4 linked regions of the Lytechinus pictus genome follow. Each later gene encodes a partner of the first gene's protein in a complex. Links are inferred from orthologs where the notes say so. Each region holds a gene or a part of one and is shown in the gene's direction. Other genes may lie near its edges.

Region 1 (7,203 bases):
TTGTGTGTTGATTGGCTGATTGTTTGGTGGGACATTTGAAACCATGCAGTGTTAATCTTTGTATGATACATGTATGCATTTAAATGTCCATTTATGAATTGAACTTCATGGTGAAAGTTTCAGGAGTTGTTTTTAAGTATTCAAGGAATCGTGAATTGGAAAAATTTAAACTAAGGCAAAGTTTTCCTTTAAATCGATTCAATGTACAATTTAATGGGAAAGTTCACCCTGACAAAAAGTTAATTGTAATTAATAGCAGAAAAAATAATGAAAAATATTGTCGAAGGTTGGAGCAAAATCCATCTAAGAATAAAAAAGGTTATTGGAATTTTATATATTTGATTTGTGACATCATAAGCTAGCAGCTTTCCTACATATCGTATGGTAAAATATCAATGAAATGTCATTTTAGAAAATTGAAAATGGTTTTTACTGTAGGGGAGACCGGGGTTAGTTGGAACATTTTTGACAAAAATGGCTGTAAAATCCAAAAAAGATTTTATTCGAGAAACAATCAATATATCAGCTTGAAGCATATATCTACAGGCTTCAAATGTACCCCATAAAATTTTTAACTCTATATGGATACTGAAAAAAATCCACCTTGAACAAGACCATCGCAAACGTTCCAACTTACCCCAATACGGGGTAAGTTGGAACATGGTATGGGGTAAGTTGGAACACTGCATGGTCAATTAAGAATTATACTAAAACTACTTAAAACTGTAATATTACATGGTTTTAGCCTATTTGCTTTATTTTATTCAAGTTCAAAATATCAAAGTGTGGATTCATTGAACTTTATGTTTTCTATTATACAGCCACTCATGCAAGCAGACTGTGTAGTAGAATTCCGCATATTTGGGTGTGTTTGATTTTACATGCAATTAGGTGTACTATCAGTAATTTCATGTACTTCTGCATCAACTTTATAAGACAAAAATTAATTGTTTATAGTTTTTCATTAATTAATTATGCAAATAACTACAAATAAGCATATGAAATTTGCCCTAAATTTGCTTTTTTTGGTATGTTTTTGCCTTTAACTCTATTTATTAAGCTAGTAGAATGCTAATTTTTGGTGAGAGTATCAATTTTCACATTTATAACAAATATCCACCAAAAATGGCAAAAAATATAATTTCTTATGTATTTTTTGTTTTTTTTATTTGTATTTTCGAACTTTATTCCGATGAACTTTTTCGGGACTCTTTTGCGATCATAAATAGCATAAAATAAATCTATTTGAACCAACAAAAGTAAAAAATAATTATACATTTATGACTTTTGGGTTGAAAAACATAATTTGCATTGACCTTGTACATGGAATCACGTTTTTGAACAATTTGGGGTTTGACCATGCACGTACAAATTGTTGCGTAAATTCGAAACCGCGCACACAGGCATCGCAAATTTGGTCTCAAATGATGCGCAAGACTTGAAAGAAAAAAGTCAGCGAGCAGTGTAGTAAAAAAAAATTCGCGCGACGGCGTAGTGGCGAAATTTCTCGAGGGGGGGGGGGGGGCTCAAATTGACCCCCAGTTTGATAAGGGTTAATATTGCATTAGGGGCCTACCATAGGCCTTAAATGCACACTCAGACCTAACTGATAAACAAAACAAGCATGGTATACAATACATGTTCAGAAGAGCGTGAAATACTTTATATATTTTTTCTCATATCCAATTTTTTTATTCATAATTATGTTTGGGATAAGTTGGAACATGTTCCAACTAGCCCCTTCAATTTTGTTCCAACTAACCCCGGAGGCCCATTTGACGTTTATAAGCTTACAGCACAAAAAAGGAACTTGACCATGGCATATTAATAACATAATTTTGTAGCTTGGTATAAGTGTCTATTATACCCCCAAACTGGCCAACTTGATCTATAAACTTCTCTGAGATAATCAAACATTTCTGAAAGAGAAAAAAATTACTCAGAAGGTCAGAAAACAAAAATTCCTTTCTAACTTCACCAGGCTTGTTGCACATGTGTTGTCTGTAATATGGTGGATGGCTGTTGATAATGACAATAAATAGGGGGCAGTATTGCAGAAATTTATTTAAAGACGTGAAAGAAAATTACAATGTTTCAACTTACCCCGCGTTCCAACTAACCCCGGTCTCCCCTACCTTCAGTATATCAATACATAAATCATTTCACACCCGTGTCTTAAAAGAAAACAAAAATAAGTCATCAAAAACCATTAAAAAATTGAAATTTATGCATTTTATATCATATATAACATATGGGGCAGCTGCTCGTTTATGATGTCACAAATCCAAAACTTTAAATTCTGATAACTTTCTTAATCTTTAATGGATTTTCCTCAAACCTTCAGCAGTATTTGTCATTATTTTTCTGCTATTTTTACAACAAACTTTTCATCAGGGTGGGTGAACTTCCCCTTTAAACAGGTCCTCGATCAGTTACATATAAAAGCATGCTGCTGTTTGATTCAAATTGATGCATCAATGCATAGGAAGTATATTTATTCCACATGTGTGCTATAAATCATCAAGGTAGATCACATCAACTGTACAAATGTACTATACTATGTCACAGACTGTTTAGTTTTATCAAGTACCTGTCTTCAAGTTACTGAACCCCACTATCCTCCTCTCTTCAGCCTGGATGTTAAAGGACAAGTCCACCCCAACAAAAAGTTGATTTTCAAAAAGGAGAAAAATCCAACTAGCAAAACACTGAAAATTTCATCAAAATCGGATGTAAACTGAGTTATGACATTTTAAAGTTTCGCTTAATTTAAAAAACAGAATTATATGCACATCCTGGTCGTTATGCAAATTGGCAGACTGATGACGTCACCCACTCACTATTTCTTTTGTATTTTATTATATGAAATATGAAATATTCTAATTTTCTCCTACTTGTCAAGTGAAACAAAGTTTTATTCCTCCCTGAACATGTGGAATTACCATTATTCTAACAGTTTATGGTTAAGTTAAGTTGGTCCTTATTGTCAAATCTGTAAAAATTGAAATATTGTATTATTCAATATGAAATATTCTAATTTTCTCCTACTTGTCAAGTGAAACAAAGTTTTATTTCTCCCTGAACATGTGGAATTACCATTATTCTAACAGTTTATGGTTAAGTTAAGTTGGTCCTTATTGTCAAATCTGTAAAAATTCAAATATTGTATTATTCAATATGAAATATTCTAATTTTCTCCTACTTGTCAAGTGAAACAAAGTTTTATTTCTCCCTGAACATGTGGAATTACCATTATTCTAACAGTTTATGGTTAAGTTAAGTTGGTCCTTATTGTCAAATCTGTAAAAATTCAAATATTGTATTATTCAAACAAAAGAAATAGTGAGTGATGGACATCATGGACTCTCTCATTTGCATATCGCTGAGTTGTGCATTTAACTTTTTTGTGAAAAATAAGCGAAACTTTACAATGTCATAACTTTCTTATTTTACACCCGATTTCGATGAAATTTGCAGCGTTATGTTTGTTTTATTTTTCTCTATCGATTCTAATCAACAATTTTCTGGGGTGGACTTGACCTTTAATGATGCAGGTTGATAATTAGGTAGCTTAGGCAGGGCCCGACATTAGCAGTGGCCTGATTGCCCGGGGCAACCAGAAATGAGAGTTGGGCCACCAAAATTCTTTACAAGCCCACACTTTGTTGCCCGGTTTGGCTACCAAAGTTTTGATAAATTGTAATGTTTTCTATTGTTTTAGGGCCACCAAATTTGTTTTGTGGGCCACCGAAAATATGATATTGATGATTTTGGTGGACTGAGCGGCCACCCAAGAAAAAAGTTAAGTGTGAAGCTTTGGCTTAGGTCTTGAGATCGTGCTGTTTAAACTTGTTGCAGTAAAGTAGATTCAAAAGAAATTAAAAGAATCAAGATTTGCCTATTCATTCAGGGGCCCATATCATAAAAAAGTTGCTAAAATAGCAACTGTTTCTTGAATATTAACATTTGTTGGAAGAGCCAATCAGAAAGCAGGATTGTCACTGTTGTCATACTACTTGACATTTCAGCAACACTTGCAACATTTTGTGAAATGGGGTCCTGATGTTGTTAACCTTTACTATTGATGATATTTTTTACGATGATGGTACAGCGCCTGTCCACAATCACTATGCTTGTTTTATTTATTCAATGAAATAAATGAGTATTAATTTGTGTTTTATTATTGCAGGTGATGTTGGGAATTATTACTATGGACAAGGACATCCCATGAAACCGCATAGAATACGTATGACACATAATCTCATACTCAACTATGGACTCTACAGAAAGATGGAAATCTATGTAAGTATTTTAAATCTTTAAACATTAGAGGGTGCTCTTTCAGCTGAAGAGTTACCAACAACTGCACAAAGCTTTGCTATTCAAAGATCACTTGAGACTTGTTGGTTTGCAATCAAAAGAAAAATGATCAGAAGATATGCATGCTCACCAATTTCTATATTTTGCTCTTGTTGATGCTGACATTCCTTCAACTATTCTTAAGCCTGTAGCTTAATATAATAAATGCAAGATTTATTATGCTTCATCTATCTAGTAAACTATCCTGGGAAGCAGATGGAATGGGGGGGGGGGGGCTAAGGATTTACATATAAAATAATGTTTGCTTGCTGTATGTATGGGTGCATGAACAGATCAAATGAGGTTCCAATATTCAACAAAAATAAGATGAAAACATATATGATTTTAGATATTTTTCAAATGTTTAAAGTGAATCTGCTGAAAGGATCCTCAGTGGAACAGCATTCCAGAGAGATGAGCTGAAGAGGCAAATTCTTTTGTCCTCTTATTTATAGTCGGGTCCAGATTTGAGAAAAGTAGACTGCCTTAGGCAAATCGTGTTAATGCTGAATTGAGAAGTGTTTTAGCATAATTTGAGGGCGCTGAGTCCAAATTTGCTGTTTGCCAACCTTGATTTTGATGTTAAAATCCTCAAATTGGCAAAAACAATATGGCCGCCATTCTACACCCTTTTTTTGCTCTATTCTGAACCCCAAAACTTGTAACAAAAATGCTTGTAATTGGTTTTTGTCTGACCTGCATAGCAGAGTGAGACTATAGGCGCCGCTTTTCCGACGGCGGCGGCGTCAACACCAAATCTTAACCTGAGGTTAAGTTTTTGAAATGACAGCATAACTTAGAAAGTATATGGACCTAGTTCATGAAACTTGGCCATAAGGTTAATCAAGTATTACTGAACATCCTGCCTGAGTTTCATGTCACATGACCATGGTCAATGGTCATTTAGGGTCAATGAACTTAGACCATGTTGGGGGAATCAACATCAAAATCTTAACCTAAGGTTAAGTTTTTGAAATGTCATCATAACTTAGAAAATATATGGACCTAGTTCATGAAACTTATACATAAGGTTAATCAAGTATCACTGAACATCCTGCATGAGTTTCACGTCACATGACCAAGGTCAATGGTCATTTAGGGTCAATGAACTTTGGCCGAATTGGGGGTATCTGTAGATTTACCATCATAACTTTAAAGTTTATGGATCTGATTCATGAAACTTGGACATAATAGTAATCAAGTATTACTGAACATCCTGTGCAAGTTTCAGGTCACATGATCAAGGTCAAAGGTCATTTAGGGTCAATGAACTTTGGTCAAATTGGGGTATTTGTTGAATTACCGCCATAACTTTGAAAGTGTGTTGGTCTAGTTCATAAAACTTGGACATAAGAGTAATGAAGTATCACTGAACATCCTTTGCGCATTTTAGGTCACATGACCAAGGTCAAAGGTCAATGAACTTTGGCCATAATGGGGGTATCTGTTGAATTACCATCATAACTTGGAAAGTTGATGGATCTTTCTCTTGAAACTTGGACATAAGAGTAATCAAGTATCACTGAACATCCTGTGCGAGTTTCAGGTCACATGATCAAGGTCAGAGGTCATGTAAGGTCAATGAACTTTGGCCACGTTGGGGGTATTTGTTGAATTACCATCATATCTCTATAAGTGTATGGGTCTAGTTCATAAAACGTGGAAATAAGAGTAACCAAGTATCACTGAACATCTTGTGCGAGTTATAGTAGTTTTCAAAATCAGCACTGCTGCTATATTGAATCGCGTGATGCAGGTGAGACGGCCAGAGGCATTCCACTTGTTGGTACTATCTGCTCGCAGGAATAACGTATTAAAAATTTACCAATATCCAGAGACGGGGAAAATGGATGTTTTCAAGATGGCGTCTAAGATGGCCGCCATTAACTGAAAATTTAAATAACCGACACTTTATCTATACTAGACATCTTTTTCGGTGCATACATGTACATGTATTCAATGGTGTAGGGGGTAAAAAGAAAGAATGAACATAAGCACTCCCAGGTACCTGAAAATCCAAGATTGCGTAAAAATGGCTGCCATGGCCTAACAATTCACAATTCATCTATTACCTATTTTAGTGTCTTTTATTTGGGTTTTATTCATTGGTGATTTCAAGGGTCAGGAAGTAAACTGGGACAAGTTACAAGGGCAGTCAAGGGTCCCTTATGTCCAAAAATCCAAGATGGCTTTCGAAATTGGAGTCTAAAATAGATGTTGTTATCTTAAAACCCGATATACAGTAGTTTGTGTAATATCTGCCTTGAGGATTATGATGTTGGTGTCTAACCCTTGGTTTAATGGGTCAAGAAATATGTTGGGACAAGTAACAAAGACAGTCTATGGCCCTCCATGTCCAAAATCCAAGATGGTTTGCAAAAATGGAGTATAAAATGTCTGTTGTTAATTTCAAACCGACACAGTTTGTTTAATAACCGCCTGGGTATATGATTATGTTGTCTAACCCTTGATTTAAATGGTCAAGTAGTACATTAGGATAAGTTACAAGGGCAGTCAATGGTCCTGTATGTCTAAAAATCCAAGATGGCTTCCAATGAAGGAGTCTAAAATGGCTGCTGATACTCTGAATATGATTTTTTTAGTATAACCCATGGTTTAAAGGGTCAAGTATTACATTGGGACAAGTTACAAGGACAGTAATAGTGGTTCCAGTATGTCCAAAAATCCATAATGGCTTCCGAAAATGGAGTCTATAATGGCCGTTCTTACCAAAAAACTGACATAGTTTGTTTAATATCAGCCTGGGGTATATGATTTTGGTGTTTAACCCATGGTTTAAAGGGTCAAGTAATAAATAAAGACAAGTTACAAGGACAGCCAGAG
Region 2 (7,616 bases), on another chromosome or scaffold:
GCAGTGGACCTTTTTACTCTTATATCCTTTTTAACTCTTAATCTTAATGTGCCATTCACTGTAATCAGCGAGTGCCACTTTTTTTTCAGAGTCTATATTTAAATGTTTTATTTATAAAAAAGAGAATCACTCATGAGACAATTATGTTAAACCTCTTGACCATAAGCTAAACTGAACAATGGAATCACTCATGCATGCAATGCACTCCTCAAAATGCAATAGGCATAACAATAGCTGTATGACCATTGCACGAAAATGTGTTTGTGGCACTCCAGTGGATGCACAGATATGTGTTCATAGCACGTTAAGGGTTAAATAACACGAGGTAGTTCTTGAAAGCTCATACTTATTATTCCAATACCTCCTCCCAACAGAATTTTCCCTTAAATTTTTTTTTTTAATTAGAAATAGGAATCTACGTACTTGTTTCAATGAAGAACTGCAGTCCGTTTACTAGGTCATCTTCACCAAGCTGTAGAATATCGGTTAGGATTTTACGATATCTGCACGTGATAAAAATATAGGAAAATGTTCATTATCATTATCTGATTGAATCATTACCAATGATAATGTGTCATCAAATTTAAAGGATTCAATTGTAACTTACATGACCTGATGTGATTTGTCGAACTACAACTACAATATAAAACATGGCAGTACATTTCAAGATGTCATACTTACAAAATATCGAGATCAATTTCGTTACGATCGAACCTTGCAATAAAATAGACAAATATGTTGGTAATATTAGCAAATATGCCCGGCAAACCTCTCTTCATTTCAATGTCTTAGCATAGGTTGGAATCCCATCTTGATGACCAGTGTTAATATTCATATTTTCATTGGAAATTTAATAATAGCTTATAATCCGTCCAAATTAGTAGTAACAATTTGACAATGAAAACAAGAAAATTTACTAAATATCTATTTGGTCTGGTGGATTTAATGGCGGTTGGGCATGCTAACAAATTTGACCAATATTATAACATTGGTAGAAGTATTATTTTATGAAAGAAAACTTAAGATTTAGAAGGAAAAAGTATTGGGTAGGGATCAGGCCCAGCAGGGCTTTAGCCAGGATTTTAGAATTGGGTGTCCAAGTTTTCAAGCAGGGCGTAAAAAAAATGGGTGAGCAAAATTAGCCATCAATAGGTTCATAGGGCTCCATGTCTGGAAGTTGTAAACGGACATGTCAAAGGGGCAGTACTCATCATTTCCAGTAGATTCCCCCCCCCCAATATTTCTGTTTCTTAATAAACTTCTGGCTTGCCCCCCCTCCACACCCGTGCTTAACCCTTTGAACCCTGGGGGGTACTCGACTAAAAAAGTGGTAGGTATGTGCCGCGGGCGAGACAAAAACCTTTAGAGCGGGCTTATTGTAAAAAGGAGGGTCCTCGGAACAGGCTTCGGAACTATAAATGTTTGTGAAAACGGGGTCCTTGGAACGGGTCGCCAGCATGTGAGTGCGAATGCATCCCTATGGAATGGGCATACGTGCATGCAGCTAGCCCGGCAGCACGGACGCCGGGTGCGCTCGCGCAGAGGCGATGGACGGACAGCGCTCTGCGGCCGCTTTTCACCAAAATTGCAGCACATTGTAGCGGATCAATGCAGCCAGAACACCGTAACGAAAAATATGCTAAGCTTTGGAGCGGATTTCTTTCTTCTTTTCTCTCGATAAGAAGAAAATGCTATGCTTTGGAGCGGCTTTCTTTGATCTTTTTCTCAATAAGATAAAAATGCTATGCCTTGGAACGGAAATTTGAGTGTAAAAATGGGGGTCCCCTCCGCAGCACATACCCACAACGCATTATATACTGAGTGCACCCCCCCCCCCCCCCCCCCCGGTTTGAACCCTGAATTAATTGGGACGATCGTGACCCTCACCCTGAATTATAAACAGATATCAAGCTTATCAAGGAATACATGACATTTGAAATAAATGATTTCATATTGTCATGACTCGAGCCCAGCCATGTCATTGTCACCTTACTCTGCTGATACCCAGCTGATGTTGTTTAGCTTCCCGTACTAACAATAATCTCAAATTCTGTCTCAAAATCACTAATTTGACGGTAGAAAATTCAACAATGAGCACTCATTCAATGAACAAGGTTATGATAGAACCTTGTTCTCTATAACTATTTCCTGTGTGGTGAAGTAAGGTTGGCAAATGTTTGGCTTATTTTCTCATGTTCTTGGGGAAAAATGTTTAGATTTTTTGACACTGTCAGTTTCCATACAACTATTCATCAAAATCAATAACTTGGCTCTTAAAGATCAAGTCCACCCCAGAAAAATGTTGATTTGAATAAGTAGAGAAAAATCAAACTAGCATAGAACAATTTTCTTGCAATTTTACTTTCCACCATGCACCAATAGAGGGTGTACACAAAATATGCCCCAAATTCAAGGTTTTGAGAGCTCTGGTGAATGAAAAAATGATTTCCAAGTTAGTCCAATGAGTAATGTCTTTAGTCCCTTTATTTTACTTTATCATGAAAAATAAATTGCAACTGTAATTTGTATTGTTACTATGGAAATTAGTATTTTGGGTGACCAAAGTCAAAAGTGATATTTTTAATGAAATTTTAAAGTGTGTGCTGTGTACTGCATTGGCATACCATAGATCTACATGAAGATTCCCCACAGGCAGGGGCTGCAGTCAGGGTGACCAGACGTCCCATATTTCCCAGGATCATCCCGTAATTTGCTTTGTCCCGGCGTCCTGACAAACCCTTCCTGGGACGCCTATTTGTCCCGTATTTCAGAATATTGAACAAAATGTAGTTAATACATTTAAAAGTGACGAATTTTCATAAAATAACCAACAGATGACGAAGCAGAGACAACAATCAAATCAATAACTAAACTTTAAAGTTCTGCAGTGATTTTCTTGCTAACCATATACATTGAAAACGAACTGGCCTCCTGCCTGTGTGTGGCAGGCTACTAGCTAGGCAAGTAGGATCGCAGCAGATTCTCAATGGAGCAAACAACGACACAAAATCGGTGGGGAACTTGTATAATTACATTATGGATTCTCAGATTACTGATTTGGAGATGTAATCGGAGGAACAAGTTATTGAGTTTTCATAGCTAGATCTAGGTGTTTCAGCTTTCGTTTTGAGTCTTGTTATGTATGATGCCACGTTTCATCTAATTTTAAGTTGACAATATTTCACTTTGAAATTTTATTCATTTCTAAAACATTTAAGTTTAAAAAAAAACACCAAATATCATTATGATTTTCGATAGATTGGATTGTTTTTGTTTGCTTGAAGTTTGAACTTTTTTCCTCTTTCTTTTCTATCCTTCTTTCATCCTTCTATCCATCCTGCTTGCCCTTTTTTGTTCGATCTATCTTTATTTCCGATCTTTCTTTCCTGATCCTTTCTCTCTCTCTGTTCATTTTTCTTTCCTTCTTTATTCAATTTCCATTTTTATTTCCTTCATTCTTTCTTTCCTTAAACTTTTCTTTATTTGCTTCCTTCTCCTTTCCTCTCCTTTTTCTTTCCGTTCTTTCTCTCCTTCCATTATTTTCTTTTTTCCATTCTCTCCTCCCTTTCTTTCTTTCTTTGTTTGTTTTATCTTTCCTTCTAATTCTTTCCCTTATTCTTTATTTCCCTTCCTACCCTCCTTCCTCCCTTCCTGTTTTTCTTCTTTCTTTGTTTCTTTCTTTCAAAGGAAACATTATTATTTCCTTCATTCTTTTCTTCTCTCTCTCCTTTATTTTGTCTTTCACACATTTATTCATCTTCCCTTCCTTTCTTTTCTTTCTATATTCAATTCAAAGAATGACGGAAACCTTTTTTCTCTCTATTAAAAGTATTATTCTTTAATTCTAACTTTCTTTCATTCTTTTATATTTGTTTCCCTTCATTTTTTCTTTCTTTATTCTCAATTTATCTCTTTTCTTTCGTCTTTTCTTTCTCTTCTTCATTCTTCGTTCACCCACCCTTCCAATTCTTTAATTATATTTTTTCACAAGTCGAATACTGTGTAGCCTTCTTTGTTGATCTTTTTTGTCAATTTTCCCGTATTTCATTTTGTGAAATCTGGTCACCCTGGCTGCAGTGAACAAGTGTGAATGAGAGGATCGAGGAGCCAATGGGCAATGGGTATCCTCATACTGACAAAAGATATAATGCGTGGGACTACACTACAGTATATGCATACAACAAAAATGTTAATCCCACGATCTTCTATGATGAAAGGAGGGATCAATTATACTCATAAAATAACAATTTCCTATTAAAGAAGACAAATCAAACATTGAAAACTATTTTGAATACTCTTAAATGATATTTACTTTTCTGTTAGGTCTTTTGGAGCCCCACCAGCGCTCAAGAGAGTCGATAATTGTTGTTTCATGGAAGCTGCCATGTTGAGCGAGACTGATCAATTTGTGAGAATGTAATAATGTGATGATAAATTACACTTATAAAGAAAAGTTTTCTGCCAATAATAAAATACATTTTTAAAGCAAAATATTTTATTTATATCAAATTTGTGCCTAACTTTATTCTTAGATAACACTTTTTAATATTTATTTATTATGCGAGGTTGTGTGGTAAAAACGTATGCGAAATACGAAGTGTACAATTACAATAGGCCGAATGGAGAGAAGACCATTGATCGGCGCGTGATTTTGAACAAATGGATGGTAACGATGTCCTCGATTAAAGTAGGATTTTCTCATTAACCGTAAGATATTTTTTATCATCAGCTCATTGATATTACATGTATGGAAATGGTTAAATGTACTTTAAAGTTCCAAAGCGATTGGTCTATTATGAATCAGTTTATTTGCAGTTTTATTACGGCCCTGTGATATAAAATTGCTGCATCACTAAATCAATTCGCCACGTAAAAGGTGCTTGGGTGGAGAGCTTCGCTGTGATCGAAGCCGTGACCCCACTCGATCGCGAGGACAATTTTGGCCGTGCTTGTCGGGGCAGTGAGTGTGTCTTGCCTGGTAGTTGACGGCCTCTGCATGGGTTAAACATGGCCTGGCCAGTGTATTGTTGGACACAGACTCTCCATGCTGTAGTCTACCATGGAGGACAATGCTTCATGTATGTTGTTAGACAGCTGGCAACCGTCTGTTTCGAGAAGTTTTTTTTAACATTTTAAATTTTGTTTAATTCTCCTCGTACACACGTCACAAGACGGCTCGTGATTGTGCAGCCGCCATAGAGCCTTTAGAGGGTAAACATAAATAACAATGCAAACTCCTCCCGATAGGGCTCATGGATTTTTGTCTTTATTTCTTAAAAATATACAAAAAGAACTGGACCTAAATAAAGATTAGTATTCCGTTTTGGCCTGAAGTGCACCTAAACGGGGAAAAATAAACTTAAAACTGGGGAAAAATAAAAAAACAGTGACTTACTTTGGCTGTCACGCAACTTCACATCCCTGTTTTATCCGAACTTAAGACATAAACATAAAGTGTATGGCCATCGAGTCCTCTGTACAGATCGAGCTAGAACTTCGGTCTCTGTATTTGGTGAGTGGAGCCAACCAACCAACATACATGTAAATGTAACAGAGACCGAAGCTTTTTTTTTAAGTTTTAGTCTAGTTAGACAGCTGGTAGCCGTCTGTTTCGAGAAGTACTTTTTTAAACATTTTAAATTTTGTTTTAATTCTACACACGTCACCATGATTAATAGACGGTAGCGATTGTGCAGCCGCCATTATTAGGGGGTTAACATAAATAACAATGCAAAAACCCCTGACGGGCTCATGGACCAAAATAAAGATTAGTATTCCGTTTTGGCCTGAAATGCACCAAAACGGGGAAAAAACTTACTCAAAAGGAAAAAAACAGTGACTTTGATAGTCTACTTCGCAAGCTTCGGCTGTCGCGCAACTGCCACTTCGAGCTTCCCTGGTTTTTCCAAACTTAATACATAAACATATGGCCATTGAGTCCCTGTACAGATCGAGTTAGAACTTTGGTCTCTGTAATTGGTGAGTGGAGCCTACAGAGTTCAGCGGAACAACCAACATAACAGAGACCAAAGTTTTGGTCTACAGTACGTATGCATGTATGAATTCCTAGATTTTTTGGTATGAGTTTCCTATGAAAAAAAATGAATTAGAAATTTAGATAATTTAGAGTAAAACTAAGTACCCAAATATTGGACACTTATATTAAGTTAAGCATAGATCTAAATTTAATTGGACCAAAACATCATTGTCCATTGAATCAAATAAAAATCATATGTACATGTAACGTTTGTCATTAGATCTATTTTGTCAGGGTTGGCGATTTTTTTTATAAAAAAAAAATAAATTGATAGGATTTATTTGATTTAAATCAATTTTTTTTTATTCAAATCAGATTTTTTTTTTTTTGACTATTTTCTAAAACAAAGTGGAAATACCAAAAATATAACCCTTACACTGAAATCTTTTTAAAAATCATACATTTCACAACTAAAATTATTATTAACTTTTCTATTTCATAATTAAATCCAGCCAAAATGTAATTTATAAAGAATACATGTATGCAGGTCTGTATAAAGTCATGACGAAGATGCTGTTTCCGCATCCTCTCGTGTCGGGTATTTAGCTCCTACTGACTGGTTTGGTCAAGTTGAGGAACTGCCTTGGTACAGCTAATAAGTTAGTGTTCCTATTCAAATATGAAATGAGGATCAGTTTCTTTGGAAGAATTCCATGACTCAGAGACTCATATTCTTGAAAGAGAAACATTCTTGATTTTCAAACTAAGGACTGAAAATCATGTGTTTAATAAAAAAAACTCCATTTAAAAAACAAATTTAAACCTCCTTTGGTATTTGAGCCATGGTTGGAGCTTTGTTATTGTTTAAATCATTGATTTGCAAAGCTGTGTCTTATTGGGAAAAGTTGCAGGTTTATTTGAATTATTTCTTTTAGTACAATAAACCAGGAGTTGTACATTGTACTTGTACATGTTTCAATGGAAGTGATTTAAATCAATGATTTAACAAAAAAATCATAGTGAAAGTGGAGTAGGGGGCTAAGTGGTAACTGCGATAAAGGATTTATTCATGTTTTGATGATATATTGTTGATAAAAAATTTCTATTTTGAGTAAAAAAAAGTAAAACTGCCACAAATAAAAAAATTGTCAATCATTTGTACATGTTTTAATGGAAGTGATTTAAATCAACGATTTTTTTAAAAAATCATAGTGAAAGTGGAGCAGGGGGCTTTAAACCGCTTATGAAGGAGAATGTTTTGATGATATATAGTTGATAAAATCTTTCTATTTTGAGGAGAAAAAAATAAAACTGCCACAAATAAAAATATTGTCAATCATTTGTACATGTTTGAATGGAAGTGATTTAAATCAATGATTTTTTTTTTAAAATCATAGTGAAAGTGGAGTAGGGGGCTTTAAACCGCTTATGAAGAAGAATGTTTTGATGATTATAAAGTTGATAAAATCTTTCTATTTTTAGTAAAAAAAAAGTAAAACTGCCACAAATAAAAATATTGTCAATCATTTGTACATGTTTCAATGGAAGTGATTTAAAGGTCAAGTCCACCCCAGAAAAATGTTGATTTGAATAAATAGAGAAAAATCAAACTAGCATAACACTGAAAATTTCATCAAAA
Region 3 (7,158 bases), on another chromosome or scaffold:
AATATTTTTACACTATGGTACATTAACATGTTAACGTTGATTAAGATAAGAGTTCCACACTTACCAGATATATAGGTACCTTAAACAAGTCGATGAACTGATGAAGATGAGCAGTTCTTGCGTGCTTTCCCTTTGATGCTGCCTGGGATCACACACGATCCTCAAGCAATACCAGCTGTATTTATCTGGGATTACTTGTACTGGAGGGAGGGGGTGCTTACCTCGAATATATAACACAATATCAATGTGGCAGATCTGGAACATTTTGGTTGCTGTATATTGTCGATACACATTATAACACGTGATCGAAGAGATCGATTTTAACCGACAGCGCATGAGTTCGAATTAACAATACCAATGTTCCAGATCTTGTCGAAAGATTGTGTAAGTGCATGGTGTTTACAAGAAAAACAAATGAAAACTTTGTATTTGATAAAGAGCGTCGAATTTCGAACATTTGAAGGAGGAGCGGGTACATTATTTTGCAGATGTTTATATATATTTGAAATAATAAAAAGAAAGCAGTAAGAATTATACACAGCATGAAGTAAATAATGTAAAAACTTTGTTTTATTTTTATTTTTTATAGGGGTACGTGCTGGTTTGGAAGAAAAATTTGACAACCCCTCCCCCCCCCAAAAAAAAAAGTTTCACAATAAAATGTGGGTGATTCTGGTTAGGTTTCGATCTTTTTACCTACCAGATTCCAAGGAGTGCTCTGTCTATGGAGCAAAACACACACACACCACCCTCCAAACAAATCTTGGGGGTTAATACCCCAGCACCCCCGCTTCCACAGCAAGGGCCATAATTTCAAGCCTCTCAAGAAAAACACGAGAAAGGTGATTCTATAACCTTCAAAAATACACCGGATGGTTAGTACTGATGATGATGATCAGTGGTAATGAGGGGCCAGACATGACATAAGGGGCGAAATTTAAAGAAACGAATGCGAGCGAGCGAAACAAGCACTGCATAAAAAAGATGATGGTGGTGAATATAATAATGATGGTGGTGGTGGTGGTGACGATGATGATTATGATGATGATGATGAAGATCACAAACTTCAGGCTTGATGTACAAAATTTAAATTGCCAGCCCCGTGTCCCCCGCCCCTATCCCCGGGATTTTTGCCCATGCCGATCACATCCCATAAGTTATTAGTGAAACTGCAATCCACGAGCAAGCTAGCCAGGGCCCCGTCTTACAAATAGCATGTTTAAACAAAATATTTCCTAAATGTGATGTGAAATCATACATTCATTGTTTTCTTGAAAATTCAGTGAGCTTTTCTTTGTTTACAAAGACATCATGCAAATTTCCTGAGAAAAAAAAGACATATTGTTGGATTTCCATGTATTGAGATGATCAATCAATCGTAAATCTTTGTAAGACAGGGCCCTGGTCGATAGAAGATAAACAAAACGAACTGTGTAGAATGAGTTTTACTTCAAATGCATATTATGCAGTCTGGTTATTATCTTTCATATTTTTTTTGGGCTTGGTTAATCCAAATGGATGTTGATTGGCATATAGTCAACGGCTCATGAAGTTTTTTGAAAGAACTTCATTAAAAACATAAAAAAAACTTTCTGAATACATAGTCAGTATATTCTGGGAGGTGTCTTTCTGCGTTGGTGATATCACCACCACCAACAACAACAACAAATGCAGTATCGCCAACATTACCAACACCATCACCATGCACCACGTTGTCACGACCTCATCAACACCACCATCGCCGCCACCACCACAACCATACACCGCCACAAACATACCACCAAAATCCCCACCAACAATAAAACAAAATAACAACTGTATCGCTATATACCACTACAACCACCATCATCATCAACCCCAATGATATCAGTGTAAGCGAAAAGCAACTCTGATGATATTTTGCATGAGGTGCGATTATAATGATGGCGATTAATTGTGTACAATAAAATAGTCATGTACAGCAACAACAATGTTATACTACTATACTACTACTACTACTACTACTATTCTACTATTACTACTCCTATACTACTACTACTATTACTACGTACTACTACTACCACTACTACTACTACTACTACTACTACTACTATACTACTACTACTACTACTACTACTACTACTATACTACTACTACTAATAATAATAATATACTATACTACTACTACTACTACTACTACTACTACTACTACTACTACTATACTTCTACAGCAGCAGCAAACAGTTTGTACGATAGTGATTGTTAATTACATCGATATAACTGAAATGATTGACAGCATTTTAGATCTAATACTTTTCTGAAAACATGATGTTGGGTTCATTTTTGCAACGTTCATATATGATGCATATATTTGCACATTTAATGTCTACACCGGGATCGCTCAATTTGCACTTTACATTTACACGACAAATAATGCGAATGATCAGAATTTACTCAGCTTCTCCAATTCCACGTGTTTGACTTTTAATGACAACAGAAGATCTTGATTAATATTTACAAAATATAACAAACTACTTCGTACATTTTAATTAAAAAGAAATAACATGCACTTCGGACTTTTTGGGGGGGTTGATACTGGTTTTGGCGTCGCAGCCATATTCTCGAGAATAATTATTGACATTATGCCGACTAACGTCACTTCACAAAAAGTCTTATTGCAATAAAAAAAAGATGAAGCAGGAGAAGATTGAAGAAGAAAATAAACTAATATATATGTGACAGTACCCGCCCCCTCCCAGAATACCGATTGTGTTCGAAGCATATGGGTATCACTGTCACAAATATTTGTTTCCGTCTATCCGCTTAGTCTCCGAGAACTATAATCAAGAAAATTACGATGAAAAAATGGTGGTCAATGATGATACCAGATACCATCCATCATGATGTTCTTAATATAGTCTACCCCCTCATTATCACACGATCATCCTTGTCATATGATTATATAATAATCATTATAATGTTCTTCCATATGGGACTGGGTGCATGGGGGGGGGGGGGGGCGGGGTGTATCACCATGCCACCCACCTCTGGGATCTACAACACTCAGCACGGGACAAGATCTTGTTGCCTTAAATTCTATGTGACTGAGAGGGCATAAAGGATCTGGGTCCCGTTGTTAAAGGGATGGTCCAGGCTGAAAATCTTTATGCAAAATGCTGAAAATTTCATCAAAACCGGAAAACAAAATCTAATAACGAAGTTATTGAATTTTAAAGTTTATCAATATTTTGTGAAAACAGTTATATGCACATCGTCATGAATATTCATTAGGTGGGCTGATGATGTCACATCCATATCACACTTTCCTTTTTTTTCTTATGTTATTACATGAAATGTATTTTTTTTTTCTTCATATTTTCATGATGTGTCTCCATTATGATGAAATGTGTTGAGGAAAAACAAATAACTAATGCACTTAATCAGTTGTCTATCCAATTGTTTTAGTTCTTGGTAGAGAAATTTTGAATAAACCTAATTTCATATAATAAAATACAAAAGAACAAGTGGGGATATGACATCATCAGCCCACCGAAATATAAATATTCATAAAGACATGCCTAGAACAGCATATAATAATGCAAATCTTTAAAATTCAATAGCTTTGTTATTTGTTATCCGATTTTGATCAAATTGTCAGCATTTTGCTTTGTGAATTTTACTCTATTCATTGAGGTATAAATATTTCCAGCCTGGACCATCCCTTTAAAGTTACTGATATGGTAACTTTTCCATCCACTGCAATGGTAGCAAGTCTCAAGCTCAATAGCCAATCAAAATCAAGGATTCCATGACAGATACCATATGATTGGGTGGCACATTACTCATATAGATGATTTTACCGGGGGAAAATAAAAGGCCAACTAGTTTTTTGTTTTTTTTAATTCCCGCCTTAATGTCAATCCACCGCCCGCCCCCCCCCCCCCATCCACCTTTGTCGGTATCAGTCCGATTCAGCCGGTTCAAACAGATTTTGTACTTCGATCGTTACTTTTTCAGTATCTTTATTTTTACTTGTAAAGTAATATTAAGGTTAATATGAAAGAATGATCTAAACTTTGAAAAATAATTGTTTCCCCTGGTCCTGGATTATTCTTATTTCGCATCAGTTCGATAATCCGTCGATTTCTGTCTCTGGCCCTCTATTGACACTTCCGTGTCCATTCCGCGCGACATTTTTGCATGTTTGGCGGGGAGGAAATCTATTGTTCTTGGCAGAAAACGTACATTGATTTTCATCTTTCCTGGTTTCTGTGACACTAAGAACACCCACAAGCATGGCTGAAAAGGACAATGGTGAGAATATTATGCTATTTTTATTTGTTTTCATTCATCAGATTTCTAAGATGAAGGATCGTAAATACAGGGCCATTCATTCTCACTCCAATTCAAAAACTACCTTTACCGTAACCCAGAGAGCTCCCGCCCGCAGCGGGCGGGAGCCCAGAAGCTTACCGTGTAATTTACCATTGTCACCGGACTAGGGTGATTTATGGTCTAAATATTTCTCCAAATGAATTGTGAAAACAGAAAGTATACAATTACCACGATTATATGGATGAAGGTCTAACGAGTGGCAGATTCCTGACATCTGGGCACAGTCTGGAACCTCAAAAAAACGAAAAGTTCTCTCCTTCTACCCCGTCTCGATCGGCCATTTTTGTTAAAAATCGTAACAAAATGGCCGATCGAGACTGGGTAGAAGGAGAGAACTTTTCGTTTTTTTGAGGTTCCAGACTGTGCCCAGATGTCAGGAATCTGCCACTCGTTAGACCTTCATCCATATAATCGTGGTAATTGTATACTTTCCGTTTTCACAAATCATTTGGAGAAATATTTAGACCATAAATCATCCTAGTCCGGTGACAATGGTAAAATACACGGTAAGCTTCTGGGCTCCCGCCCGCTGCGCGGGCGGGAGCTCTCTGGGTTACCTTTACCGGTACCAGCGCTGCGCTGCATGCATGCATGCAGGCGAAGGTTCACGATCACGTTTGGTTTACACATGTGACGACTGTCGCAGCTGTCGAAAGAAAGTGGCGAGACTACTCATCGAGGCCGAGGAGGCGTTCGGCGGCGGCGCGCGGTGAAGCTCAGCAGTAACACTAACAAGTTAGGCGCATGGCCAATAATATCGGAGACTGTCTCCCGTAGCCTTAGACAGCTGGCAGCCGTCTGTTTCGAGGAGTTTTTTAACATTTTTTTATTTTTTAAATTTCTCCTCATACACAGACAGCTCGCTATCTAACCCAGGGAACTCCCGCCCACGCAGCGGGCGGGAGCCCAGGGGCCCGTTTCTCAACACCGTCATAAGTCTAACTTCTTGACTAAATCGAAGATAGTGAGCTACTTGTCCGCTAACCGTTTCACGAAGCCCTCTTTGCCAAGATCGGGGACAACAACCTGACCAAATATTTATGACACCTCCGAACCTTTTATAGCTACTTTCTTAATGACGTAGTGGCATCACGTGTAGTCTTGAGGACGCAATGATGATGATTTTTAAAATAATGAAATATACTTCTTCATCATTGACGTCTTGACACTCTTCCCCCAGTCGCATAAGAGAAGGACCATAATAAAGATGGATTTCCCTCGGAAATCCATCTTTAGAAACAAAAATCACTTTAATTGTATTGATTTCATTAATTTTCACACCTTCCTACGCCTAATGCGTAGGAAGGTTTTAAAAATTATAACATGAAAGTGTGAAAAATTTAAGGTTTCTTACCTAACTGATGCTGAGTAAACCCCTCGATCCACATGTAAACAACGTAAGTACAATAGCGTCGACCCTTGAACCGCTTATGTATGACGTACTTCCGGCTAGCGATGCCGTTCTGATGAATAATTTATAGAAAAAAAATATTATTTCGCAAATGTTAAAATGTATCACGTAAATTAAAAATAATTGTCAGTTTCATACCAATTATTTTTAATTACGTGATAAATTTTAACATTTGCGAAATAATTTTTTTTCTATAAATTATTCATCAGAACGGCATCGCTAGCCAGAAGTACGTCATACATAAGCGGTTCAAGGGTCGACGCTATTGTACTTACGTTGTTTACATGTGGTTCGAGGGGTTTACTCAGCATCAGTTAGGTAAGAAACCTTAAATTTTTCACATTTTCATGTTATAATTTTTAAAACCTTCCTACGCATTAGGCGTAGGAAGGTGTGAAAATTAATGAAATCAATACAATTAAAGTGATTTTTGTTTCTAAAGATGGATTTCCGAGGGAAATCCATCTTTATTATGGTCCTTCTCTTATGCGACTGGGGGAAGAGTGTCAAGACGTCAATGATGAAGAAGTATATTTCATTATTTTAAAAATCATCATCATTGCGTCCTCAAGACTACATCACGTGGGTAGACTATGACATGCAAAATTGCCTCAAAATTTGAAAATTGTAATCTTACGTAATCATTCATAGAAGTTGAAATTACATTGCAAAACAGGTGTGATAGATCATTCAATAATAGTTGTAATGCACAGAAACTATAAAAACTGTTGGTAAAACGCAACAAAACCACTCATTTTGAAATAGTAAAATAATTGAATCGATAAAGATTCTACCACGGCAGGTCATCCATAACTGGACTCGTATTCGTCGTTTTCAAACTTATCAACATTTTTGATAAATACTATCTCTAATTTATGCAAAGAATTTGTCAAAATCGTGTGTTTCGGTGTGTAAAAATTTAAACATTTATGTTAAACTATATTTTGATGATGTTTGGAACCATAAATAAACGTATAATTATCATTATTTTACAAAGAAAACAATTGTGGTTTACTTTCGTAAACTATCAAAATTTACTATCCCGGGGATACCCATCTCAATGTCCCCATGTGATTTTTTAGTCATGAAATGAATTATTCATAATTTGATTTTCTCAGCAATTGAGTGCTCCAGTCTTCATGGTTTAAGTATGCATGGTTCATATTTTGCCTCTGCTATTATTTTTATTATATGTATTTCCAAATTAATCACAATAGTTGCAGTTTTATCATATTTTTGCTTTTCAAAAATTATGCTATTTTGTGACTAAGGCTACGTCTCGTCTGCTCTTTCAACCGATAGTATCGATATCAAGGGATTCTAGTTAGGAAGCCCTTCGTGAAACGGGTTTAGTAAGATTGGAACTAACTCCG
Region 4 (6,893 bases), on another chromosome or scaffold:
CCATCTCTGGAACAACCAAAATCTGTTTGATGACAATGGAGAAATTTTGCTTAGAAAATTTATGTAACACATGCTTTTGCATAATTTGGCCTAATAAATCAATTAAACTTATGCAATATGTATCACAATAATTCAGATTTTGGATATCATTGAAGGCAAGTCCAGCAAGTGCAAATGTGGCAAGTTGTGAAGTCTTTGTTAGATGCAATTGGACTTTAATCTCAGCATAAATTGTTTTTAAAGCCATTTGAATATTTATATTCACTTTTCTTGGCGACGTAACTCAGTAGTGGCTCTCAAGGTGTTGGGGTGTGGTCATTTATTGATGGGTGTGGCTAGCTCAATAAGGGACAGAAATGTCCAGTCTTGCTATTGGATGGATGATTATATTTATGTATGAAGTGATTCATCAAAAGAAAATTTTACATTCATTTAGAATTGATCCTGCCAATATTTTGTATAGTTTCTCAGGCGAAATTTTTATACGCTTTCACATTTCTATAACTTTTTTCTTCATATATTTCTGTGGAACATCTCAACTATTTTATACATCATAGCATCTTTGGTTATGTTTTTTGTGTATGTCAGGTTTCCTCAACTGTCGAATGCCAGTTTTATTTTGTTTTTGTGGAAATCTCGTTATCCATGAGTTGATGGTTTTTTGATAGATCTTGAATGATGATCCAATTGTTGAAATGAAAATGATTACAACTAGCGTGACATAAGTACCATATTAAGAGGAGGTCAATAATGGTAAAGTTTTGGTATATTATGCACTAAGGCATATGTCACCCAATTTAGTTCATAATGTTTGGACCCAGTTGCACAAATCTTAGTAATTGATTGTGGGGCTGATTTTTACGATTGATCATACATGATAGTCAATGCAATCAATTATAAAAATCAATCCCATGATCAATCGCTAACCTTCATGCTACAGGGCCCCTGAAAACAAAATGCCTAGGACACTTTAACTGCAACATGAATAGGCCTATCTTGTTTAGTCCTTTTTCAGAAGGGCTAGAATTAAATGACAACTTTGCAACCAATGTGGGGATACACTGGGGGTTGAGGTAATTCATTCCAGCTATCAAACTGCATACTAAAAATGAATGGCCAGACAAGATTTTGCAATGAAAATGATGTAAGATCTTGGCATTTTTCTTCTGTGCAAGAGATTTGTAATTTATACAGATTAATGGCGAAGTCACATTTCCCCTACGGCGGCCATACGGCGAGTCGAAAACAGTTGTTTTAATGTTCTTTGTACCAGCTAAATATAGGTGGTTTGAATAAAAATGAATAAAACGGCTGTTCTTGACTTGCCGTATGGCCGCCGTGGGGGGAATATGACTGCAGCATTACTGGTATATATTTCTGCATGCAGTCACTGGCTTTGAATGTAGAAGGGGAAATATGAAGAATTTATAATATTGAAACAAAAAAACTTGCAGCACATCCTTTCTGTACCATAATACTGCCTTTATAATGTCATTTAAAATGTGCATATTGTTTCTTACTTTTTCTACAACTGGTTTGGGGTTTAATGATTGCCACGTAGTATACTCATGCAATAAAGATTATTTATCATCTTTACATTACATTTAGTCTATGTTGACTTTTTAGTTGTGTGATTGGTTTTTTTTAAGTGTATGAAATAAAAACTGAAAATATCAGTGAATACCGCATTCATTTGAATGAATTACTGAAGCCACCTCCCGCTATGATAAAACAACACATAATTAAAATGCACAAAATACATGTACAACATGTAGCTAAACAATCTCCCATTTACAGAGATGCCGCGGGCCGGTTGGCGCGGGGAAGGATCCATGATTCTTTCATGGGTGAAAATTATGTCTCGTTGATATTGTTTCGATTTTATTTTACAAACGAGATGTTGCATCTCTCATTTTTATTTTTCCTTCACTTTCTCATTCTCCTTCTCCCCCTCTTTAATTCTCCTCGCCCTTATTATTAGTCTTCTTATTCTCATCCTCCCCCGGGCCCTCATCCACCTCTTCCTCCTTCTTCTCCTCCTCCTCCTCCTCCTCCTCCTTCTTCTCCTCCTCCTCCTCCTCCTCCTTCTTCTTCTTCTTCTTCCTCTTCTTTCTTTTTTCTTCTTCCTCTTATTTTTTTCTTCTTAAATAAATGAATGAACAAATTGAAACATAGAAAAAATAGAAAAAAATTCAAGAATGAAAGATTTTGAAAAGTAGGCCTACAGCCAAAATAGGAACAGTTTCGTCAATCTCAAGCTTTGAAATGCGTTTAAAACATTATTTTCCGTCATTTCGACCTTCGGTTGCATATCGTATCATGCATTTAAAGGGATGGTCCGGGCTGAAACTATTTACATCTAAATGAATAGAGTAAAATTCACAGAGCAAAATGCTGAAAATTCCATCAAAATCGGAAAACAAATAACGAAGTTATTGAATTTTAAGTTTATCAATATATTGTGAAAACAGTTATAAGCACATCGTCATGAACATTCATTAGGTGGGCTGATGATGTCACATCTCCACTTTCCTTTTTCTTATGTTATTACATGAAATCATACATGATTCATTTTTTCATACATGTGTATAAATGATGTGTCTCCGTATGATGAAATAAGTTGCGGCAATAAATAACTAATGCACTCAATCAGTTGTCAATTCAATTGTTCAGTTCTTGGTAGAAAAATATTGAATAATTCTAATTTCCTATAATAAAATACAAAAGAACAAGTGGGGATATGACATCATCAGCCCACCTAATATTCATAAAGACATGCCTCGAACTGTTTCACCGGAATAATGCATATCTTTAAAATTCAATGACTTTTTTATCCGATTTTGATCAAATTTTCAGCATTTTGCTTTTTGAATTTTACTCTATTTTTTAGATATAAATATATCCAGCCTGGACCATCCCTTTAAACATACATCCCATCTCCCCCTTTCAGGAAAAAAATATTTATAGCTATATGGTGACTAAGTCCATGTGGCTAGCCACACTGACTGAATGAGGCTTAGTAATCAGCTTTTAACTCAACATTCTTATTTTTCCATCGTACATTATTGATCCCACTGCTGCCACCAGTTTGCGATATGAGGGGGCCTATTAAAGAGCTAGTGCAAATATCAGGTTCACCTGTGGGCCGGGTGATAATCTGCCTGTATATGGTGATGATGCCAGGGGTGATGCACTTCAAACATTTTGACCTCATGGTTTTTGTATTTGTTAAACATAATATGGCCTGATAAAATAATGTAAGATAATGATCAATAGAAACATTCAATAATCTCCACCAGGACATGATCCGGCCAACCTAAAGAGGAGAAGGAATTTGGAACTGAATACATATAATGACTTCGTTCAGTATACTCCCTAATAGTATATCCCTAAGTAAAACGGTAAAAACAATATCTTTTCAGATCAAGATCGATGGGTCGAGTCATCTGCCTCGGCTGCCCCATATATCATTTATTATGCCCTCCATTTCTGCCCCTTTATTTGAAACAAAATAAAGTTCGATCTGCGCTTCCACTTTTTGGGTAGACCTGAATATTCAGAGGAAGCCATGGATCGAAGCTGAGCTCCCTGAGCTTTACAAAACACTTTTTTTTTTGGGGGGGGGGGATAGAGGGAGAGAGTCAGCTAGGAATTGCCCGGGAATTGCTGATCTTCGGGATGCAAATCTAAAATCATTTCCCCATAAGTAGCCTAGCTACCGGGCCTAGCTACTATATAGGCCTATATGTTTGTCCGGATGTTTGTTAATTCTTTCTTTTATTTTCAAAGAAATGCTGGACCCCGGTGCTGGACCTTGGGCCCTGGACCATACTAGTTCGGTAGTTCCTCGAAAAGATGAAACAGTAGCCTACATAAAGATAGACCTGGATACTTGACTGCTGGAACAACGCTGTATATTTTCAGATGCGGTATAAAGACAAAGGTATAAAGAAAGAAAAAAAAAATAGAGAGGAATACCGGAAGTAGTAGTCACCTCGCATCATCATTCATCATGGGTTTTCGCGGGAAACTATACTCGTGCAATATTCACACACATTTTGTACACAAAATATAAATGGAGCAAACGGATTGCTACATGTAGCTAGGCATGCGACTCTTGCGATGAGTTGTCCAGTGGCATGAATGAGTCAGAATGTCGTCACATTTCAGCTGAGTAGGTCTAATTTGCCAAAAGTACATCCAAATCGATGTGGAACACTGCAGCTGAAGCATAACTCTGAAGTGAAGGAGCATTTCGTAAGTTTGGACTTCATTGACAAACCTTTTCTAAGTTTACGCCTGCGGGTAGTCCCACGTGTGTAAATTTGTGCTGTGACAAAATCAGTATAAATAATTAATACCAGTCAGAAATTCGAAAATTTTGGGATGGTTGAGGCATATAAAGAACTATCATTCACTTTAACGAGGATCTAATAAGTCAAAGGAAATGGTTGGCAGCCAAATGGTTAATGGTTTTCTTTTTTTGCCACATCATCATAATCATCAGTAGGCCTACCTCGAGTGAAGTTCGTGCAGGCTCCACTCCACTTCACTACCGCTACACTACGGCTACGCTCCACCAACCCGAACGTCGAGACCATGAACTCGATCGGATATTCCGAGTGACAAAAGGTGGGATTTTATGGGGAGAAAATACAAAATTCATGCAACATCACGATCTTTAAGTTTAAAAACAAGTAAAACTAATATTCTTACTTTACACAAAGTTTCACTTCTTTTCCATGCTTCTAAGTTCTATCAGTCTCAAAATTTATGATTTAGAGCCAACATGAAGTTCCTCACACGTAATAATTCGCTGCCGATTTCAGAACATCGCATGCGCGCGAGGGTCCGAGCTCGGACCAGACCCGGTACCTCCCGCATGCGATGTTTTGAAGTCGGCAGCGCATTAATATTTATACGTGTGAGGAACTTCATGTAGGGTGTCTGAAGCCACACTGAAAAGTGTCAGCATAAAACAGGCTGATTTAGGGGGAAATATGGCACATTTTTTTCAGGGAAGTTCAGGCTACTAGAAAAATGTGATCTGAATTGATTATTAACTTGTGTTTGGGATGTATGGAAAGAGAAAATTCAGGGGCTTCTTTTGACAGTAAGGACAAGTTTATATGATCATTTTGAATAAGGATTTAGAGATAAATTGCAAACCCTTATTTTTGTGTGTGTTGAGATTGCCATTTCTCCATGCGTTTTCTATGGGAAAATGAAATTTCTGTTTTGCACAATTTTTTTCACTTTGTCGCAATTTTTCATTGTGATCTGGTTTCCAAATCTTTATAAAAATCATACCATCAGATAGAGCATAAAAAATCCTATTGGACTCTTTATGGACAAGTTTTTGGCATTAGTAATGAATTTATAACAGCTCTCGGAAGCTAGAAATTTGGATTTGTGTGTGTCCATTTCTTAACTACACAGTCTATGGCAGAGAAATGCTGAAAATTGACCTAATTTCATTCTTCTTTTTTGCAGCCAATAATTGGAATTTTTTCAAAAAATTTACATTTCTGTCAGTCTGAAGGTCATTTCTCTTCAAATTCACAAAGAAAATGTGATATTTTCTTGAAATAAGAAAAATAATTTTTTTTCTCCAGACACCCTACTTCATGTTGGCTCTAAATCATCAATTTTGAGACTGATAGAAGCATGGAAAAGAAGTGAAACTTAGTGTAAAGTAAGAATATTAGTTGCACTTGTTTTTAAAGATCGTGATGTTGCATGAATTTTGTATTTTCTCCCCATAAAATCCCACCTTTTGTCACTTGGAATATCCGATCGAGTTCATGGTCTCGAAGTTCGGGTAGGTGAAGCGTAGTGTAGCGGTAGTGAAGTGGAGTGGAGCCTGCACGAACTTCGCTCGAGGTACATCATCAGTAGAGCCTAGAGGCGCACGGCCAATATGGGAGACTCTCTCTAATAGGGGAGACAATCTCCCACATTGGAGACAGTCTCCAATATTGGCCGTGCGCCTCTACTGATCATGTTGTGACGAAAACTTCACATTGATTGACATTGACTTTGTCATTGAATCTGACTTTCGATAGTTTCATGACTTGGAAGTTTGGGGCTAATGTCTAATGACGAACGTTAACTCAAGTTTTATTGCCTGGCTGCAGTTTCGCACCGGTAGCCACTCATACTACGAACGAGGTTATAATATAACCTCGTTCTCGGCTGTATGCCTTCCAATTGTAAAAATATACATTGCTCATTTTCCCTCCATCCGTTTTTTTTATTATTTTTATAACAAATTTTGTCTATGACTACGCCTCACATACCTCTTTTCCCATCCCCTACCTTTTGCTGTATGGCGAATGGTCGTGGATAACGAGTGCCGGTAGCCAGCTTTGAGAGAATTCCCCACCAGTATTAATTGTTTGCAAAAGCCAAATGTCATAGCAAGTCTCTCAATCACATTTCAAGGTCAATAATGCCCACCCCTTTTCTGAATTATCACGATCGGGAATGGTTAGCGACCAAAATCATGCAAACGAACAGGTGAGCTGCCGTAGGCGTAGGTCGCTAACTCTAGTCCATACATGACATTCAGTTCTTTATCTTGACTGAGCGATACTCGTCTCATCTAGCCTAGAGGACTCCGTGATCAAAATTTTTTATGATTTTGATATTGTCAATTTGATCACGGAGCCTAGACAAGGCAGGCTATGCCACTGTGGAGAAGATCGTAGTCCAGAAGGGAATTCCCTTCATATTTAACATTAGAACTTGTGCCATATATAGACCAAAATTTTATTAAATTGTATACCTTTATACACCTAATGCGTATAAAGGTATGATAGTTTCCCCCCCAAAATAAGACAAATTAGAGGTTTCTTACCAGACGGATGTCATGTATCCATGTTGTAAACACT

Evidence for each region.
Region 2: histone deacetylase 1 (region 1) and protein lin-54 homolog share a complex: the UniProt entries of both Drosophila melanogaster proteins name them as parts of the DREAM complex. The link is inferred for Lytechinus pictus from reciprocal best matches to the Drosophila melanogaster genes HDAC1 and mip120.
Region 3: histone deacetylase 1 (region 1) and histone-binding protein RBBP4 share a complex: the UniProt entries of both Drosophila melanogaster proteins name them as parts of the DREAM complex. The link is inferred for Lytechinus pictus from reciprocal best matches to the Drosophila melanogaster genes HDAC1 and Caf1-55.
Region 4: histone deacetylase 1 (region 1) and metal-response element-binding transcription factor 2-like share a complex: the UniProt entries of both Drosophila melanogaster proteins name them as parts of the form of the Esc/E(z) complex. The link is inferred for Lytechinus pictus from reciprocal best matches to the Drosophila melanogaster genes HDAC1 and Pcl.

What each region holds. Positions count from the first base shown.
Region 1 is NC_087261.1:583,663-590,865, forward strand, and holds the start of histone deacetylase 1, read left to right. Parts: upstream 1-4,183; 5' UTR 4,184-4,227; coding exon 4,228-4,302; intron 4,303-7,203. UniProt on the Drosophila melanogaster protein: Catalyzes the deacetylation of lysine residues on the N-terminal part of the core histones (H2A, H2B, H3 and H4).
Region 2 is NC_087262.1:10,333,981-10,341,596, forward strand, and holds the start of protein lin-54 homolog, read left to right. Parts: upstream 1-4,594; 5' UTR 4,595-4,707; intron 4,708-7,616. Other genes in the region: COP9 signalosome complex subunit 4-like, read right to left, coding at 424-503, 4,313-4,386. UniProt on the Drosophila melanogaster protein: Component of the DREAM complex, a multiprotein complex that can both act as a transcription activator or repressor depending on the context. In follicle cells, the complex plays a central role in the site-specific DNA replication at the chorion loci.
Region 3 is NC_087248.1:6,917,329-6,924,486, reverse strand, and holds the start of histone-binding protein RBBP4, read left to right. Parts: upstream 1-4,141; 5' UTR 4,142-4,274; coding exon 4,275-4,293; intron 4,294-7,158. UniProt on the Drosophila melanogaster protein: Core histone-binding subunit that may target chromatin assembly factors, chromatin remodeling factors and histone deacetylases to their histone substrates in a manner that is regulated by nucleosomal DNA.
Region 4 is NC_087259.1:16,247,732-16,254,624, reverse strand, and holds the start of metal-response element-binding transcription factor 2-like, read left to right. Parts: upstream 1-3,880; 5' UTR 3,881-4,143; coding exon 4,144-4,257; intron 4,258-6,893. UniProt on the Drosophila melanogaster protein: Polycomb group (PcG) protein.